2 linked regions of the Lepisosteus oculatus genome follow. The protein of the gene in region 1 interacts with the protein of each later gene in a pairwise test. Links are inferred from orthologs where the notes say so. Each region holds a gene or a part of one and is shown in the gene's direction. Other genes may lie near its edges.

Region 1 (9,985 bases):
TAAAAAATAAGTAGCTAAAGATGGTCTTTTATACCGCAAAAACAAACAAGTTACTACAACATTCTGAACGAATGATCAGACAACACATGCCAATCTTGTTATTAATCATATCTAAGTTGCAGACTAGACAAAAGTTAGTTCCTTTCATATGTTCTGGGCACACAGCCAGCTTACAGTACCTCATAGATGCCCTTTAATCCTACTGACCAAGGACGGGCAGCATCTTTGTATATTTGGGTGCAAAGCCAACTACAAGCCACTAGACTGCATAGTTTGCAAAAATACAAAAATGATATTCTCACCTCCCAGATGTCTCCCTTATCTCTTCTGGCTACACATTGGATATACATTCATACAGTATATCCAAAAACCAGCAGCTTGCAACCACTTCAAGATCAAACTGAACCAGTCTTATGGAGCTGCAGGTCAAAGCTTTGTAGGGTTTAAGTTTTATTATTATTGAATGAGTATAAGCAGAAGTGTTATATGACTTATAAGCAATTTTCAAGGAAAAAAGGCTATCCAGACAAGTTTATCTGCTTGTAATTCAGGTGTTGATTAACACTGGTGGAATGAGGACCTCGTGGAATTTCTTTAGAAAAGTGCAGCTGTATTCTGACTACAGTCCTCTGACAACATGATGCAAGCCTCAAACCACAAAGCCTGGACTGGTTCCCAGCCTGGAGCTGCCACCTGTTTGAAAGATCAGGCTGAAACATTGCTGCTTATGTGGCTGCAGGTCAGAACTTTGTCGGGTCTAATAGTTTTTTTTTCTTTTAACAGAGCCCCTGAAATTCTTTTCAGACCAGGACTGATTGGAAGAGACCACTATGGAATGCACGAGGCCATCTTCCGTTCCATTCTGCGCTGCGACATCGACCTCCGGAAAAGCTTTGTGGGAAATATTATTCTGTCAGGTAATTCGCTTTCTTTGTTGCAACGGGCTCCGGCCTTTCATCAGGCATGTGCAACATTAGATGGCTGAGCGACATAGCTTAGCCCGCCTGAACGCTACGCAGGCTGGCATGTTAAAAGCGGGTCTTATAAGGGTATATGAGATTCCAGCAGCAGCCTTAGTTTTTCCAGGAGGTCTCCCGTCCGGGGTACTGGCCAGGCTCACACCTGCTGAGCTTCAGTGGGCTGGCAGTTGGGAGTTGCAGGGTGCTACAGCTTTTGTGTGAAAAGTAAGGTAGATGCAGTAAAGAAATTGTGCACCTACAAGAGGTGCTTTTAGTCATTAAATGAACCCAAATTCCTTATGGAGCCAGAGTCATGGATGCTTATATATTATATAGCCGGGTACCTGCTGGCGCAGAAGGCTGATGCATGTGACCCAGGTGAGAGCTGTGCTTCAGTGGTATGTCATTCAAAAGTGCAGAGTGGCTCACTGGCACTTGCAGCGTGTTTGGGGATCATTTGCAATAAAAATAAAATAAAATAGTGGGTTAACTTGTAAAAATAGTTTCATTTTTTCCATCTCACTTTCTCATAAAACAGATTTTTTTAAAATAAACACTTTTTTAAAAGGCCAGAAACAGCTAAATGAGTTGAATGTGTTTTCCAGTAGGGTCCAGTAATGACTGGTGCTTTCCGCTGAGTTTTTTTTATTTTCCCCTCGCTCGTGCGCGGTGCCTCGAGGTGACTAACAGCCGTGCGCGTGTGTGTGTGTGTGCTCTGGTTGAAGGCGGGAACACGCTCCTGGCCGGCCTGGCACCGCGGCTGCGGGAGGAGATTGGCGCCATGGCGCCCGCGGAGCTGTGGGACAGCGTGCGGGTGGTGAGCCCCGAGGACAGGGACTGCGCGGTGTGGCGCGGGGGCGCCGCCCTGGCCAGCCTCCCCTCCTTCTCCACGGCGTGGATCACCCAGGCCGAGTACGAGGAGTTCGGCCCCCAGGTCGTCTTCAGGAAGTGTTTCTGAGCCTCACCCAAGTGGGCCTCTCATCTTCTTCAAGTGCAATTTTGTATTATACAGAGATTTTAATAGTGCCATATTTTTCTTATTTTAAATGTCCTACCGAAAAGTGTTCAGGGATTTGCTTGTTCTGCTGGTAGAGCAGGTTTTGTCCTGTTTATCGGGTTTTAACTTTGCAAAAATGTTCCATGTGATTTTTTTGGTGAACAAGCTCAAAGTGGTGGAAGGTTCTTTGACAAGGGCTATAAACTAGAGGGGTTCAGCACCCGTTTAACAAGTTATTTAAACATGCTGCTAATTATTTTAAGAAGATTAATTGCAATAAAATGGAAGGTGCACTTGATACTGTGAAAAGGCTTGTTCATTGAAACTGTCTAGTTACTTGATAGATTCGTTGAGAGCTAATTTTGCCACCAGCATCACAGGCTAGTTTCTCTTGGACTAGACAGGACATAAGCAATGTTACTGTTATTTTGAAGAAGGCTGTTTTTAAGTCTTTGCAGTTAAACCAAGTACAAATAAAGCTTGAACTTGGCATGAAAAGCTGATCTCTGAAACTCCTGGTATGTCTGGTCATTGCCCCAGTAGTTTTAATTACAGTGGTTTAATCTTTAAACATAACCTTAGTCTGAACAGACTGGGCCCAAATGAATAAATGTAATGGGGGAATGGATCTGATGCCTTTATTAACGTCACTGTTTTTTTTCATTTCTATATGTTAAATATCTGTTGTCCACTTATGTGTTAAGGACGTAAGACTGTCTTTTAGTGCACCAAGCCATTTGGAAATGTTATTTTTCTCTTAATTCATTTTTAAATGTTTTTTTGTGTTGTCTTCTCAATGTTTACTTGCTGCTTGAAAGACAGATGGGTCCTTAGCTAATTCTGGGCAAGTGATCCGACACACAGGACAGGAATGTACATTTTCCTTTAATGCTAACAACTTTATCATTTGTATTGCAGGAAATGGCATTTATTAAATTGCCTTATGGTAAGGTATTTCCTATTGAAAAAGGATCTGCCTAGGCATCGTTAGTAATTGAATCTAAACATCTTCCCTAAACGGCTTAAGTAGTGCTTTATGGTCATTCTCCACGGAATTAAGATTTTTGTATGCAATTTGGACAAGTAGATTTCGGTCTTTGACATTTTCTGGTTTTTAAAGCACTTTGAGTTTATACTTTCTTCAGCCTAAATGCACCATTTTCTTATTGAGGTACAGTTGACCACCGATGTTCAGATTGAGGATGTTTTACTACCTGAATCTTTGAATGTTGACCAAATGGTTGTGAAAGGTGACCAGACATTAGCACTGTTCAGACCTGTCCTTAGAATCTGAGGTCTATGCTGTTGAGGTTTTAAACCAGGCACAAAAGGAAAAATGTTACATAAATGCTTTAATTTAGAATGGCTATCATGACTTCTTAATATTATATTGTTTCCCATAATTTAGAAAAAGTAAAGTAACACTTAAGGGCATCTATAGCTAAAGTGTATCCGTAAGCTTTTCCAAAAATATATTTCCTTGGCAATGGGTAAACGTCTGTGGTAGCCTTAAATTGATTCATCCAGGAGTCCAGATTTTTAAAATATCAATGCATTTCCTCAGGTTACCAGACCTCCACTATCGTTTGTACAAAACAAATATACTGTGCGAATGTATAATATCTGTATTTTTATAATAAATATTTATTTTCTTCAGAATTTTCTTCAGAAGGATCTATCATTACCCAGTAGAGTATAGCAATCTTTAAGCACTGATTGGTGCACATAAATGTATCCTATTTTATATAATACTATTGCACTCATGGTGCTTTTCTGGACACTCCACTCAAATAACTTTACAGATAATGGGGCCTCCCCTCCATCACCACCAATGTGCAGGCCCACCTGGATGGTGCGACAGCAGGCAGTGCTCCAGTGCACTCCCCACACACCAGCTCTCAGTGGGGAGGAGAACCGTGATGAAGCCAATTCACAGATGGGGATTATTAGGAGGCCATTATCAGTAAAGGCAAATGGGAAATTTGGCTGGGACAGCAGGGTATCACCCTACTCTTTTTTTTGAGAAAAACTGGGATTTTTAATGAGTCAAGACCTCAGTTTTATGTCTCGTCTGAAGGATAATGCTTTTATTTTTTACACTGGAGTGTCCCCATCTCTGCTGGGGCATTAGGACCTACACAGACTGCTGGGTGAGCACCCCCTACTGGTCCCACTAACACCTCTTCCAGAGGCAAACTTAGCTTTCCCAGGAGATCTCCCATCCAGGTACTGACCAGGCTCACACAAGCTGCGCTTCAGTGGGGTGCCAGTTGTGTTCAGGGTGCTACAGCTTTTGTGTGAAAGTATGGTAGATGTAGTAAAGAAATTGTGCACCTACAAGAGGTGTTTTTAGTCATTAAAATGAACCCAGATTCCTTATGGAGCCCGAGTCATGGTTGCTTATATATTATATAGCCGGGTACCTGCTGGTGCAGAAGACTGATGCATGTGACCCAGGTGAGAGCTGTGCTTCAGTGGTATGTCATTCAAAAGTGCAAAGTGGCTCACATGGCACTTGAAGAGTGGGGATCATTTGGAATAAAAGAAATCTGCAAATAGTGAATTAAATTCTGTAAATAGTTCTATTTTTTCACTTTCTCATAAAATTGATTTAAAAAAAAACACTTAGCAAGAATAACGGGAACAAAGGCAGAGACAGCTAAATGCGTTTAATGTATTTTCCAGTAGGGTAAAGTAATGATTGGCACATTACGCTTGTTTTTTTTTTTTTTATTGCAATTTAAAACGTAGTACAAAAATAGTACATCTCTGTAATCTTGGTACTCGAAGACATTCTGGAAAAAGACGGGTAGAGTTTCTGTTATGTTTTTAAATAGTTATATACAGTAGATTTTGTTGACTAATTCCTCCGTTTAATTTGCCATGAATAAGTTTTGAAAGATATCCGTCGTGTAGAAACAGGCGGTACCCTTCTTTTATATCTACTGTACATATTTGCGTGTATACCAGTTTGTTTTACTAGGGGGTCTTTCACTTCTCCGAGAATGATAGCATCTTACTACGGACTCGGGAAGTGGATAATTTGGGGTGGGGGGAGGTTTATAACTTCCGATAGTCCGACTAAATACGCTAAATTTGTATAGTCTCTTCGCAGATATTGAAGTAGCGTGCAGTTGAATAGTACAAACATGCTGCTGCTACAGGTATATGTCGCTTCACGGTAAGGTTCAACGTTTACAAGCGGAATATACGCTTTTACGTAGGGTTTCATTCATTCAGTTCCCAGATTTTCTAATGGTTTTCAACTCGCAACGCAGTACAAATCTGTAATGAGTATTTTATTGCTATAATCGTTGTAAAGCTCTACATTAAAGGATGAGAACGGAGTCGACAAAAAAAAACTTCTTGCTAGGTAGCCATAGCAACCGTCCAGTAAACAGGGGACCTGCTGCAGAGACCAGGTAGGGCGAACCGGCGTTAAAGTTTGTTTTCCGCTTTAGAAATGTTCGTCTGCAGTTTTTTTTCCATATCATACATGTTTCACATTGCTATACCGACCCATGGGGCTGTTATAATGTTATTTTGCTTTAGTTTTAACGAGGGATTTTCAAGTGACTGTAACCTTTTTTGTAAAGTGTGGGATAAATCGTGGCGGCCGGGAGGTTACAGTCATTTGGTCTGTTTCCAGTTTTTCTATTGCAATCAAACAATGCACACCAAATACTCAAAAGTGCTGATCTCTTGCATGCCAGGACACTTGGCACTTTGGACTCGATGAGTCGTGTCGAAATGTAGGCTTTATTTTTTTAACTTAAAAACATAAATTAATGTCATCAATAAAAAGAAACGTCGTAGCTCTGTTTATATTGGCGATATGTAACATATGGTTTGTGTTTCTTTACGCGCTTTAGAGACAAACACTCGACCTTATTCTCGAACATGTACGTTAATCACAAGAGCCGGCTTGGCCACCTGCTCATGGTTCCCGATTGCGTTTAACAGGAGACTCCCAATATATATGTGCTAAACAGGTGATGTTTGATGCATTAAACACAAATACAGTTTATGACATCTATGAATATAAATGTTCATTTCCGTGAAGAAGGAATAAGATGTCCAGACCGGTACCTAAAACTAGTTTTTTTATCCTCACTAGGTGATGAGTCGCGCACAACCTTGAATTGGCTTCAAAACACATCAAACGAACCTCGTCTCGAGTCGAGAAGCCACATTTAGCAGAAGAATCAGCCTAAGTGGGGAAATGTAGAGTTTTATTCAGCACTAATGAAAAAAATTGCTTAATGTCTGTAGCTGTTTCCTGGTCCTGACGTATTATTGTATATTGTTGTGGGAATACGGCCATAATGTTCACAAAGATGGTCATTCCCATGTTATATTCTTCGCAGATGCCTTTACCCAGTGCAATTAACCAAGTATTCATGGATAAATACTGTATAAATGCATAAATTCCGAAAATACATCATTCAGATATACAGTAGTACGGGAAAAAGAGTAAAAATAATTATTGCAATAATACCAAAGCCGCAAGGCGAATCTGTTCAAATGCAATGGAACTTGTTTTGTTGAATCAAAGCGAAAATAGTTGTAAACTTTTTTTTTTTCCTTGCGGTAGCTCTTGAAGATGTCACGCGCACAGGCTGAGAGTGTCATCAAAAACATTATTCGTGAAATTGCTCAAGAATGTGCTGGCAAAGGACAGGCCGTGTCCGAAACACTGGTGGCTTTTATGGTAAGAATTGTGCATGGACAAATCTGGCGGAACTGGAAATCAATAGGAGCAGTACAGGGTAAAAAGCCATTTATTCTCTTTCATAAACATGAGCAGGGCTCTGGAAAAAGTCCAGGATGCTCAACCTTTAACAACTAAAATTGATTTTATTTATACGGGAATTATACTGGTATGCGTTTTTTGGTATTAAAAACAAAAACGAACATGTGTAACAGTATATCAAGTTATGACACCCGAAAAAGGCTCCACGGCCGAAACATTGTGTTTTTTCTTCTCTTATCAGCACGGAATAAACCTTTACTTGTTCCTTTGCAGCCTACGCGTGCTGACGCAGCTTCTCAGCTTAACTAGTCAAGCATGTCCTGTCTGCTACCTCTCAGAAACACTTCCTTGTTTTTCCTTTCCTTGTGCTCCCTGTTAGTGTATTTTTCTCGTGCTTGTTAGTGTGCTAGTGTTCCGCGAGTTCATGGTTAGGTGTTTGGCCTGGACTGCTCAAACCTTTCAGTATACATCATGTTTGATCACAAATTCTGAATTAGAATGTGATATAATTGTGAAAAGTGGTACTAGATGCATCAGTAGCAACACTGGAAAGATAATAACACTTCTAAATGCACAATATCCAAATTTATTTATACCCCATAAAGGTATACAAAATAATTGCTGCATATTCAGTTCTCTCTTGTTTTCAGTCATCTGGTATTCTCACAAAGCTCAAATGTTTCTAGACACTTCTTGAAACGTCTTGACGTCAGTCTGTTTGCCCCTGCGTATTAAAAGTGTGGAGGACACAGATGTAAAAGACTGATTATCAGATTGCCATTAGCAAAGCCAGAATATTGTCAAAAGAGCAAAGGTAAAAGATTTGCATCAACAGGTCTAAAAATAACATGATATTTGTGGCTTATGTGATGGTTGCTGCCCTACCAGGAAGAGAACAAAGCTTCTGCCTATGTCTGTGGTCAGAAAAGTGTTTTGGGAGAATAACTTACATTCAGACACAACAACTGGGAATCATCAAAACGCCCAGGCGTCATCAAGACAATATTTTGAAGTCTGCCATTTAAGGGTCTGCTCATGAATCTGTGGTACAGTATGTGGCAGAGCTCCAGGACAACATAGAAAGACTCAAAATGGCCAAACAGAAACTAGGTAACTCCCAAGTGAAATGGGACCACATGATGTGGTTGGATAAAGTACAAATACAGTTTTTGTCTCACCAGAACTGCAATTAGCACAGAAAGGTGAAGCTCACGATGACATAAAGGAAAAAAATGGAACTGTTCAGCTTTTAGGCTGGGTTGCGTATCCTAGTTAGAACTGAGAAACATAGGGATTGCCACATTATTATTACTAATAGGCAGTTACAAGTTAAAAGTGCAAAATAGAGGGGGGTAAACAATAATTAAAATAAATAATTATGAACCCCAAATTATAAAGATGTTAGAACTTACCCAAGTGGTTGGTATAGTTAGATGTACTTGAGTTCTTTGTTCTTGGGTTCAGCTCTGATGAAAGAGTGATGAAAGAGTAATTCATCAGAGGCAATCTGGGATTAACAAATATTTATTAACAATGAAAATAACACAAACTAAACAACACACAGCACAACGTACAACTTATTCTGTTTACAAACAAGGTGTCTACATCCTGATCACCCAGAATGCTAATCAAGTACTCAGAAGTCCTATAATGGGTTACAGGCCAAAAAGAAAGTTAAACCTAAATAAAACAGAATACAAAATGGAGCCCTCCTATAAATCTGGATGATCCAAAGTGAATGGTAACCTACCTATTCTATAAGTCCATATAACTCCCTATTCCATCTCTATCAATAAGAGTTCCCTTAAGAATGGAATTGCAAGCTCTCTTTAACAAGGTTCAGATATTTAGCTAGAATCTGGTCTTTAGGGTTGATTCAAACAAAGTCCTTTCAAACACTTCTCCTCTTTCCAGCTATTTCTTTTCAGTCTGTTCCTCTCTCCCTGTCTGCCTATTTGTGTTTTTATCCTGTGCTCTGGTTTCCTCCCAAAGTCAGAAGACATACTGTACTGGCAGGTTCAGTGGCTTCTGTAAATTGCTCCTGGTGTGATTGTGTGTGTTTGTGTCTGTGTGTCTGCCCATCCAGGTGTATCCTGCTTTACTTCCACTGTTTGCTCGGATCGGCTCTGACTCGCCTTCTGTACTGTATAAAGCAGTTTAGAAAATAGATGGATATATTAAGAGTTAGGCAAATTTGTGTTTATTTATTTATTGACATTGTTGCTACATCTCCTGAAGTGTTTATTATTCTTTTAAAGTTTGCATTCTATTGCACAGGTAAAAGCGGTTGTTTTGGATCCAAGGAATGAATTTAACGTTGATCGAACTCTTACAAAACAAGATGTACAGAAATTAATCAAGGTAATTTTAACATTTTTGCAACTCAGCTTTTCTTAGTAAAGGAGGATTCTATCTTCAAATCATCTCGATAAAATATACTTAATCAACCGTATTCAAAACTGCTTTGATCAGGGTTATGATGAAATAGCTGGCAACTCATCTATGTCAGTTGAAAGATGAGTTACAGCATAGTAAACACACAGATGTGTTTTATGATTCTGCAGCTCCATCTAAAGGCCAGTCAAAAAATAGTTTTGAAGATTCATTCCTACATTATTGCACTATTGTTGTTCTTGAAAAAAATCTGATATAAACTATACATTTAATATTGCCTGTTTTTACTTTGTTGTTTTTTACAAACCTTTACAGCTTTGCGTGGATAGACTTTTGGATCAAAAAAGCCCATCTCTTGATACAGTCAAAATGCAGGTTTATTTTGACATGAATTACACAACCCGACGTAAGTATTTTCATGTGAGAAATGAATGTGATCAATTAAATTATGAAAAATGAAAATGCTATTTTATTTGTTTAGATTTACATACAACAGCATACCCTCAACATGTTTTGTTTTTCCATCGGTAGAATTACACATAGTATCTGTTTCAGTTTCTTTCATGTACTAAAAACTGTTACCTGTATCCAAGTCCAAAGATTTGAGAAAATAGTAATATATCAGCAGGAAGATTTTTTAAATGAAAACGTTCCTCTTTTTAGCTCCTCAGGCCTATTTGTATGTTTTTTTTGCGTTCCCCTCCCTGGCCGGCCAGGTGAGTTCCTGGAGGAGAACCAGCGCGTGCTGCAGTCCAGGCTGGCGCCGGCGAGCCGAGAGATCACAGACAGCCGCGCCCGGAGCCGCGAGGAGCTGGAGAGCCTCTACCGCAAGATCGTCAGCTACGTCCTGCTGCGCTCGGGCCTGGGCTCTCCCACCGACAT
Region 2 (10,068 bases), on another chromosome or scaffold:
ATAGCATCCTAGCATAGGTACCCCACCTGTCCAAATGTTCTAGGGCAGTATGAAGTGCTAGAGATATGGCATCATTCACTGATCTATTTGGGTGGTAAGCCAACTGAAGTGGGTCAAGGGAGTCTGGGATAGTGCAGTTTATATCACCTCGCAACTCACAACTGGCAGCCCGCTGAAGCTCAGCAGGTGTGAGCTTTCCCAGGAGGTCAGTACCTGGATGGGTGACCTCCTGGGAAAAACTAAGGTTGCTGTTGGAAGAGGTGTTAGTGGGGCCAGCAGGGGGCGCTCACCCTGCGGTCTGTGTGGGTCCTAATGCCCCAGTATAGTGACGGGGACATTATACTGTAAACAGATGCCATCCTTCGGATGAGATGTAAAACCGAGATCCTGACTCTCTGTGGTCATTAAAAATCCCAGGGCGTTTCTCGATAAGAGTAGGGGTGTAATCCTGAGTCCTGGGCAAATTTCCCATTGGCCTTTACCAATCATGGCCCTTACCAATCATGGCTTTCCAGTCACTTCATATCACTGAAGTGAGTGCCACTGGGCCGTAATCATTCAAACAAGTTATCTCGGTCTGCTTGGGCAGTGGCACGGTTGTTGTTCTCTTGACGCACTCTGGCACAACTGACAGGGACAGAGAGAGGTTAAAAAGGTCTGTATATACGGGAGAGACCTGACCTGCAAAGGTTTTAAGGACACGAGAGAAGACACCCTCTTAAAGGCTCTACACACCTCCGGAGACCTCTGACCCACTGCAGTGGAAAGAATCTAAAATTACGTTGTGGCAGCCTGCATCCTGTCTCACTAAAACCCACACAGCTATGACCAAGATAGCCTCACTTGTCACCGTTGACTGCCCACAGCACAGGACAAATGTGAAGCCCAGTGCGTCTGTGAGCTTGCCTCTTCTTGCCAAACACACTGTGAATAGCTGTATTTTACATTTTGGTGGGTAACAGAGACCACAAGCGTGCCCATCTTATCTTCTCTTGCCTCTACAGCAAGCTGATGACTCATGTGGCATCGCAGTTCTCCTCTAGCTACGTCTTCTACTGGAAGGACTATTTTGGGGACCAGGAGCTGAAGTATCCCCCTGGCTTTGATGGCAGGGTGGTGCTGTATCCTAGCAACCAGAACCTCAGAGACTACCTCAGCTGGAGACAGGCCGACTGTGAGTGCTCCCAGCGCTTCATTCTCCACCACCAGAGACTCTTTCGACTAAATAAAACATGTGAATGTTTTGTTTTCCATTTGAAAATTTTGCTCTGCAGATGGGTCGGCCCTGCTGTCTCACAGTGCTGGTGCCCTAGGTTCAATCCCTGGGATTGCTGTCTGTGTAGCGTTTGTATGTTCTCCCCAAGTTTGTGTGGGTTTCCTCCCACAGTCAGTAGATAGGCTGGTTCTGGGAAAACTGGCTCTGGTTTGAGTGTGAGTGTGTCCGTGTCCTGTGATGGACTGGTGTCCCATCCAGAGTGTTCCCTTCCCTTGTGCCTGTTGCTCCAGTTCCTCCGCGACGCTGTACTGGGTAAAGTGGAAAGAAGACAGCTCTACAAATGTTCAGCGACTGGAATCTCTTTGCTCTCTTGCTGGATTGTTTCTGTTTCTCACATCCTGAATCTCCGACCACTGTTTTGACTCGCGTGGTGCTCCTGTTTTCCAGGTCATATTAATAACTTGTACAACACGGTGTTTTGGACTTTGGTGCAGAAGGGTGGGCTGACCACATCCCAAGCAGAGGAGAGACTGAGGGTGAGAAGGTTTTTTGGGGTGTGTGTGTGTGGGCTAACTGGAGGATTGCTGTGCTTTCAAAGAGAGGGCTAGATTTCTGAAACAGCTGGTGTGACCAATAAAATAAAATAAAAAAATGTAATTCACTTCTAATTTAAATGTAAATTTAAATTAAAAATGTATTTTTTTTTCTAGCTTTAGAAAGCCACTTTTAGTGATTAATCATCTGAGACAAATTTATGACTGCAGTCACCTAACAAGCAGTACTTTATAATCCATGGTAAAGAATTAGCAGAATTTGAATTTTTATTCTAATTCTTACATGTTTATCTAAAGATGCTTATGGCGGTCCTTCTTGAGTTAAAACAGGACACCTCTCTAATTATTTTAGGAGTCATCAAAGCTTTTAATAAAATATAAAAATCACAAAGAAAACACAGAAGCTGTTTTAAGGTCTTCATACCACGTCAAAGGTAAATTCTTTAGAAGCAGGTTTCTGATTGGACACATCCTGTGTGTAATTGAATCCTTAGCTTTATTACGGGGCTTTATCACTCAGCTTCGCTTGTGGGACTTAATTACAACTCAGATACTGGAAAATAACAGGCCTGAACCGTAAACATCAGGTGATGACTCTCCACTGCGGTAAATACGCTCTGATCAGCACTTTCATCTTCTGGGCCTGAGTCGATATCTAGGACATTCATGCAGAATGCAGTTCAGCTTTTGTATAAAATTCTTCATAAAACCCAGAGCTGATAAGGGCCCTTATAGCACAGGAATACCCATGAAGAGGGATTGGCCTCCTTGTACAATTTTAGTGACATATGGTATCGTGCTAATTTATGTGTGTGTCTTTTGAAAAACAGAAAAGGCCTGGGAAATGCTTAGGACTTAAAACTGAAATCATGTGAAACAACGTCACAGTATTTTAACTTCCCTGCATGTTTTTACTTCTGTAACACAAAGGCTCGATGCTGTTCATCAGGTTTAAAAAACAGGATTCTAGTGTCTGGCGTTCAGTTTGCCGGCCATTGAAAAAAACCTGTAACGTGATCATTCAGCTGGGATGGGACTTTTTTGGGGTGGTCCATGATATTTTCAGATTTGATTTTTCTGGGCTGGGCTGGGCCATTTGAGTTGGCTTGTTGAGTTTTAAGATGTTCCAATTCTGGTAGTGCAGTGGTTTATTTATGTTTGTGTGTGGGGTGTACGATACCGCACTGGTTAGCATTGCTGCTTTGCAGTGCCGGGGCCTCTGGGTTCAGTTCCTGGGCTCTGTCTGTGTGGAGTTTGCATGTTCTCCCCATGTTAACATGGGTGTCCTCCGGATGCTCTGCTGTCCTCCCACAGTCTAAAGTCATGCTGGGAGCTTAATTGGCTTCTGGGAAAATTGTGTGTCTGTGTGTGTGTGCACTGTGATGGACTGGCATCCTGTCCAGGGTGTATCCCACCTTGTGCCCGTTGCTTGCTGGGATAGGCTCTGGCTCCCCCAATATATCTGTACTGGATAAAGCAGTTTAGAAGGTGGATGGATTCTTTTATCACACCACCTGGTGCCTGATGGTCTTGGCTACAGCAGCCAGTGCAAGATGGCGTTTGCTGGAGAGGTGCTGATGCTTTCCATTCATGTTTTTTAGGGCACTCTAGCAGCCGATAAGAACGAGATCTTGTTTGCAGAGTTCAACATTAACTACAACAACGAGCCTCTACTCCACAGGAAAGGCACAGCTCTGGTCTGGAAAAAGGTGAAATGCAAAGACAGCAAAGTCTTTCATGAAAACATGCCGTTTACATAATTCCTGTTTCTCCAAGATGATCCTTCATCTTTTGTCTTATCCAGTATTTGTGTCTGTTAGTCAGGAATGCATCTTGTGTGATACTGTGTGATACCGTTTTCATTCCTGTACACCAGAATAGCTGACCTGCATCGGGATATAGCAGTGTCTGCATGCGTGTAGTTAGATTTTAGGCTGCTTGGCTTTTCTGCATTTTGAACCCCCCCAAAAAGCGTAACTTTTTAACCCCATTTTTAAATGCATTCGAAGTTCAACGAAACCGTGACGAAACCAGTGAAACGTGCGAGCGAAGAGCAGGAGAAGGAGGTGGTGGTGACGCGCAGCCGGAGCAGAGTCGTCGCCCTGCATTGTGACATCATCGGGGACCAGTTCTGGCAGGAGCACCCCGAGATTCTGGAGGGGGAGAGCTAGCCAAGCACACACCTGACGGCGCACATTCCCCACGGGCTAAACACCAGCTCTGGCTGTATAATGGAAGGCCTGAGCAGAGGAGGGGTCACAAACAGGTGGAGCTGTTTATCTCTGGTGCCAGAAGGAAAGGAGGAGACGAGTGGTTTACCTAATACTCTGGCCTGGCTTTCCTTCAGCCCTGCTGTGTCAGCTGTGAAGTGCTTATCTACCCTGTTTTCTGCCCAGAGGTAGTTGTAACTGAAATTGGTGGGTTTTATAACCACAGGTGAAAAGATGGGTGTGATTTTTTCCATTTCACATGGAAAGAAATGGTGAACAAGTAAGCGCTTTAACTCCGCAGCAATTATATTACGTGGAAAAACAGTAGTAGTGATGGGCAGACCTAAATCTCAAGAAGGCATTCCATGATGAACATGAGCGCTGATCCAAAGCTGGGTCACTCTGTAGTCGCATCTCTGCTGTCTGTAATGTTGAATTAAGCTACACCTATGTCTGTACTTCATGCAGTTTTTAATAAAGCAGTGACTGGATTTGTATAGGGCTCTTGCATGGTTTTTTATATTGGTTTTATGTAGAATTTCTTCCTTTCAACTTCTCATTATAAGATCTTTTAAATGAGGTTGTGAGATATGTAAGCTACTAAAACAGCCATGTTTAGCTTTAGAAACCACCAGCTTCTTTTTTTCCTACATCCTGTATGTTTTGCCAGTGGTTTAGTTATATGGGGCGGCGTGGTGACGCAATGGTTAGCATTGCTGTCTCGCAGCGCTGGGTACAATTCTGGACCGGGGGACACTATCTTTGTCGCTGCGTGGAGTTTATGTGGTCTCCCTGTGTATGGGTTTCCTCCCACAGTCCAGACACATACAGGTAGCTTAACTGGTTTCTGGGAATAAGGGCCCTGGTGTGAGTGTTTGTGTGTATGTTTGTGTCTGTGTCTGCATCCCACCCAGTGTGCACCCCACCTTGCACCCATTGCTTGCCAGGGTAGGCTCCAGCTCCCCCACCACTCTGAATTAGAGCACAGAGCAAATGGATGCATGGTTTATCATGCATCTGTTATTGGAAACGCCTCCCACGTCAACAGCCAGTATTGGTGCTCGACGACCCTGGTGTCCCGGGTTCGAGCCCGAGTCCTGTCAGCAGCTGACCGAACACTGGCGAGGGTACGGTGGGGTAGGGCTCTCTCAGCTTCCTGCAAACGCAGCGCCGGTATGGGGGCAGATTGAAGGGGGCTGCCTGCGCTCCGTCGTCCCCTATGTGCACCCTCGGTGTCCACCCCTGCGTCTCGAGCTGTGAAAATCGCACAACTGGAGACTGGGGAATGCAGTGGGTGTAATTAAAAGCAACTGGTAGATGTTTTTAAAAACTAAACAGCTCAATTAAAGAGTAGAAGGAGGGTTGCAAATGACAGAAGGCCATTTGGTCCATCAAGTCTGGTGGTTAGGAGCTAATCAATCCAAGATTCCCCTCCAACTGGTTCTTAGAAGAAACCAGGTTTTCAACTTCAACAACATGGCTGGGCAGCATGTTCCACACTCCCACCACCCTCTGTGGAAAGAGGTGCCTCCTGTTCTCAGAGTTAAATGCTCTTCCTTGTGGTTTCCCCTGGTCCCTATTTTACTGGTGATTCTGAAGATGTCCTCTGGGTTGACTGTCAGTGTGTCTGAGGACTGTGGATTCTCCACGTACTCTTCTCGGTTCAAGAAAAAAAAAAACAAAGGAAAACCACTTATTGTTGGAGAGGCCTGTGGTCCAGAGGTGGGACTGCCTTCTGAATGGGACACCAGTCCATCAAGGTGGCAATTTAGAGACCCCCAGCTGACCCAAACACACGGCTGTGGAAGGTGGGATGACTTTCTAGCACCAGGGGGAACATGCAGGCTCCACACAGAAGGTACTCCAGTCTGGAATCAAACCCAGAACCCAGGAGGAGTGAGGCAACAACACTACCCACTCCACCACTGTGTTGCACGACAGTGGTTCACACATAATTATCAGTTAACCTAAAAAGTGCATTTCTAAAACACTCAAACAAAAACACTTTTTAACGTCTTCCTGCACAACTATGCGATTTTATTCACGGATCCTGTGAGCTGTCTCGAGTCCCAAACGATTCAGACCAGATAAAAAACGGAAAGTTATTAACTTTTATTTTCATTTAACTAAAAGACACTGATATCGTGTCTTAACTCTACCATCACTCAATACAATTTATTAGCTTCAAAAATCTCTTCAGGCACAGCAGTCATTAAAAAAAAAACATCCTCCTTGCGTATTCACACGTGTGCAAGATGCGTGGGGTATCTGAACGCATTTCAGCTCCCACGTGTTTCAAGGGCAAAGGGGTCGCTCTGAATCCCGGGAAAGAATCCGTCGCGGATGTGAAGTCCAGATGAATGACTGGTGTTCGTGTTAGGGTGTCATTTTGATTGTTCTGATTTCGAGCGGGGTGAGAGGGTGTGTGATAGTTAAAGGGGTTATAAGACTTCTGTCACATACGGTTCGTGAGAGAAACGCTGTTTTAGCGACGACGGATTCAGTTCGTGAAGGTGAACCATGGCAACCTTTTGACGTCTCGCGGGTCGCCGCGGTCCCTATTGTGACAGCCGCTGCGCGTCGCGCCTGCAAGCCAATAAAAGACCCCCCCCTCTCTCTCGCGCCGGCAAGGTGTCCGTTTTGAATTCCGGCCGTTCCAGCCGCTGTCTGTCAACGGAAAGGGACTAAGGAGCGACGTTGAGATCACAATTAAACCCAGCCGGAGGCCCGCAATGGACACACGCCCAGGACCCGGGGCAAAACCAGCAGCGTCACCCGCCACAAGGAGTGAAAATCGCTTCAGAAAGGAAAACAAAAGCCAGGCGCGCCAGAGCCGCTCCGGCTGCCCCGGAAAACCCCAAAGTGACGAGTCCGGCCGGAAAGAGGAGCAAGTTAAGACCGAGGCAGGCGGGCCCTGTGAATTACGTGTCCAAACGGTCCCCAGGCGGGAAGATATACCGGTCATTTTTAAAGCGGAGAGGTCCTCGAGTGGGAAAACCGTGGTGGGAGTGGCGGTGAAAGAGAAAAGGAGGAGAAGTGCAAACGGGGACGATGGAGGAGTGAAAACCGAGGAGGGCCGAGTGGCGGAAGGCGTGGGTCACCCCCGCGCTGGGCCGACTCCCAGCGGCCAGAAAGGAGAGAAGAGCGACGGGGCTTTCGCGACGCCTCGACCGCTCCCGCCCGAGGACACGGAACGGGTCCCGCCCAGCGGCGCGGCGGCGGCGGGGCGGGGAGGAGGCGCGGCCCCGGCGGTCCTGCACCACAGCTTCCCGACGGCCTTCCTGACCGCCGAGCCCATCCGGCTGAGCAGAGTGCCCTTCCCCGCTCTGCCCATCGCGCTGCAGCCGCTGGCGCACACCTCCGTGAAGGTGGAGACCAGAAACGTGCCGCTCACCCTCCCGCCGTCGGAGTCAGGTAACTCCGCGCCCGAGGTCACGCAGGGCTGCAGAGGGGACAGCTGGCTTTGACACTGTCTCCGCTAATGTAGGGATTTTTGAAATGCTCTGATTTTTTTTCTATACTTATGTGCAAAAGCATTAAACATAACATTCGCGATCAATAAGAGCCTACGATACAGAGAGAACGTTTTTTTTTTCAGATTCAGCGCAGTGTGTTTTTCAATTATTCAAACCCCCATTTCTTTTCTGTAGGTCAGTTCAGTTTATTCTACAATGTATTTTACTAGACGTCTACACAGAAGTAGATCATGTTTATGACTAGCTGGATAACGTTCCATGCTTTCACCCAGCAGAACATGCTCCTTATATTGTGCAGATAAAGTTGCAGATTGTGCAGATATAGTTTTAGTTACATATTTCTTGTATGCCAAGATTTCAGTAAGTTTCAAGGAAGCATCATAAAAAGTGTCTGTTGGAACATAAGGCTGCTGCTGGAAGAGGTCTTAGTGGGGGGCCAGTAGGGGCCACTCATCCTGTGGTCTGTGTGGGTCCTAATGCCCCAGTATAGTGATGGGGACACTATACTATAAAAGAAAAAAGACGTTTTCCTTTGGATAAGATATAAAACTGAGGTCCTGGTTCTCTGTGGTCCTTAAAAATTCCACATCGTATCTCAAAAAGAGTAAGGGTGTAACCCCAGTGTCCTGGCCAAATTTCCCCCTGGCCAGTCATGGCCTCCTAATAATCCCCATCAATGAACTGGCTTCATCAATCTGCTCTCCTCCCCACTGATAGCTGGTGTGTGGTGAGAGTACTGGTGCACTATAGCTGCCGTCGTATCATCCAGTTTGGGGCTTCACACTGGTGGTGGCGGAGGGGAGTCCCCATTACCTGTAAAGCGCTTTGAATGGAGCGTTCAGAAAAGTGCTGTATAACTGTAACGAGTTCCACCTTTCCTATGGAGAAAGTGACCTCCAGACTTTGAGCCTGCCCGTGATCGATTCTCTTAATAGGGGATTTTCAGATTCCTTGCTGTAAGGAGCGAAACGGACACATCAAGCGCCCCATGAATGCCTTCATGGTGTGGGCCAGGATTCACAGACCTGCTCTGGCCAAAGCCAACCCCACCGCTAACAACGCGGACATCAGCGTGCAGCTGGGAGTGGAGTGGAACCGGCTGTCCGAGGAGCAGAAGAAGCCTTACTACGATGCGGCGCAGAGGATCAAAGACAAGCACCGAGAGGAATTCCCTGGTGAGTGAGAGATGGAGCCAGCCGAAGCACAGCAGATTTGAAGCAATCAGCACAGCTATTTTTACAAGTCCAAGCGCTGCTAATTTATTGGGCGCACGTCGCTGCCAGTTTTCATGTGGTAGAAGTAAAAGAGTATTTTTGGCTCTTACTCTTGTTATCCTGACACTATCAGGGGAAGTGCTCGACTCCTTTCCCACATTCATGCACACATATCACTGCTAGTGATCACTGGTGTGATTAAAGCTTTTTTAGCCTTCCCTCAAATCATCTGCTTTCTATCTGCATGCAACGGTCAACTCAGACTTCATGAGTTCTTATTTGTTCTTCACAAATTCCAGATTTTAGATAAATGAATAACTGAAAAGCATTCAGTTCCTGTTGATGCAAAGGGAGATGTGCCAGTAAGCAACAAGAGGGTTGTACAGACTTCATGCTGAGCCAATCTGCTGTTTTTTCCTATCCATGCAGTGAGTTGGTGTTGAGATGGAAATAGTTTTAAATTATAAGAGGATTATGTCAAGGAGCATCAGGCACGCATACTGGAGAAAGTGACACTCTTTCAATTTCATACTTTATCACTGCAGTCATCTTAAATTGAAAATAGCTGTCCATGATACCTAGAAAGCTAGGTTTGTAACACTTGAACTTGAGTGTAGAAGATTGTTCTTCTATTCATTCTTTTATTCTTGATCCAAAATGTAATTACTTTTTTTTTTAAATGGAGTAATATAGTGAGTTCATTGTTTTTGGATAAACCCTAATCACAAACGAAGATTCTGTGTCTGTGTTGCCATCACGGCCATAGTGGAATAAGGCCATTCATGGTGACAATGTTCATACACACTAACCGAATCTTGGTGCAGTTGTTTAATCTCCAGAAAGAAAACATGGAACACAAGATGGTATTCTAACAAGGAGTTCAGTCCAGAAAGAAAAGATCTATAGCTGCCATCCGAACTGATTCGTGTCTCTGATATGTCATCTAATCTAATTGGTCTAATCTTTCAATGATGGTGCTCCTGTTTTATTAGGTTGGGTTTATCAGCCAAGACCAGGGAAGAAAAAGTGCTGCTACCCCCCTGGTATCATGCCGTCCTCAGTGCCTGCTTCCTCGCAGAGCTGTACACCCACAGCTGTGGCCGCTGGTCCGGCTGCCTGCTCCATGGCTGCCCCAGTGGTACACATAGGCTCCAGCTACCCCTCGCCTGCAGGTGAGTGCAGGGAAATGGAAAGACACGGGCTTGCTGTGACTCTGGACCTTCCCAATAAGCAACCCAACTGGCGTTTTAAAAGCACCTGGCTTTTGGCATTGTTTTGAAAACAAAGCGCAACATCTTCTGTAGAAATTCAATATTTTCTTGCGGCACTAGAAAAAGAAAAGATGCATTCCTAATGTTTTTTTTTTTAAATACGTTCTATGAAACAAAGCAATGTTTG

Evidence for each region.
Region 2: the proteins of cfap206 (region 1) and transcription factor SOX-30 interact in binary tests that used the Homo sapiens proteins (3 or more experiments, as listed by UniProt). The two-hybrid records come from large-scale screens. The link is inferred for Lepisosteus oculatus from reciprocal best matches to the Homo sapiens genes CFAP206 and SOX30.

What each region holds. Positions count from the first base shown.
Region 1 is NC_090697.1:8,347,476-8,357,460, reverse strand, and holds the start of cfap206 (cilia- and flagella-associated protein 206), read left to right. Parts: upstream 1-4,930; 5' UTR 4,931-5,378; intron 5,379-5,389; exon of another isoform or gene 5,390-5,421; intron 5,422-5,444; exon of another isoform or gene 5,445-5,593; intron 5,594-5,642; exon of another isoform or gene 5,643-5,948; intron 5,949-6,073; 5' UTR 6,074-6,170; intron 6,171-6,550; 5' UTR 6,551-6,559; coding exon 6,560-6,667; intron 6,668-7,277; exon of another isoform or gene 7,278-7,433; intron 7,434-8,121; exon of another isoform or gene 8,122-8,175; intron 8,176-8,459; exon of another isoform or gene 8,460-8,643; intron 8,644-8,986; coding exon 8,987-9,070; intron 9,071-9,418; coding exon 9,419-9,509; intron 9,510-9,819; coding exon 9,820-9,985. Other genes in the region: uncharacterized protein, read left to right, coding at 784-917, 1,685-1,917. UniProt on the Homo sapiens protein: Essential for sperm motility and is involved in the regulation of the beating frequency of motile cilia on the epithelial cells of the respiratory tract. Required for the establishment of radial spokes in sperm flagella.
Region 2 is NC_090706.1:28,067,801-28,077,868, reverse strand, and holds the start of transcription factor SOX-30, read left to right. Parts: upstream 1-6,199; 5' UTR 6,200-6,712; coding exon 6,713-7,394; intron 7,395-8,391; coding exon 8,392-8,631; intron 8,632-9,662; coding exon 9,663-9,842; intron 9,843-10,068. UniProt on the Homo sapiens protein: Acts both as a transcriptional activator and a repressor. Binds to the DNA sequence 5'-ACAAT-3' and shows a preference for guanine residues surrounding this core motif. Binds to its own promoter and activates its own transcription.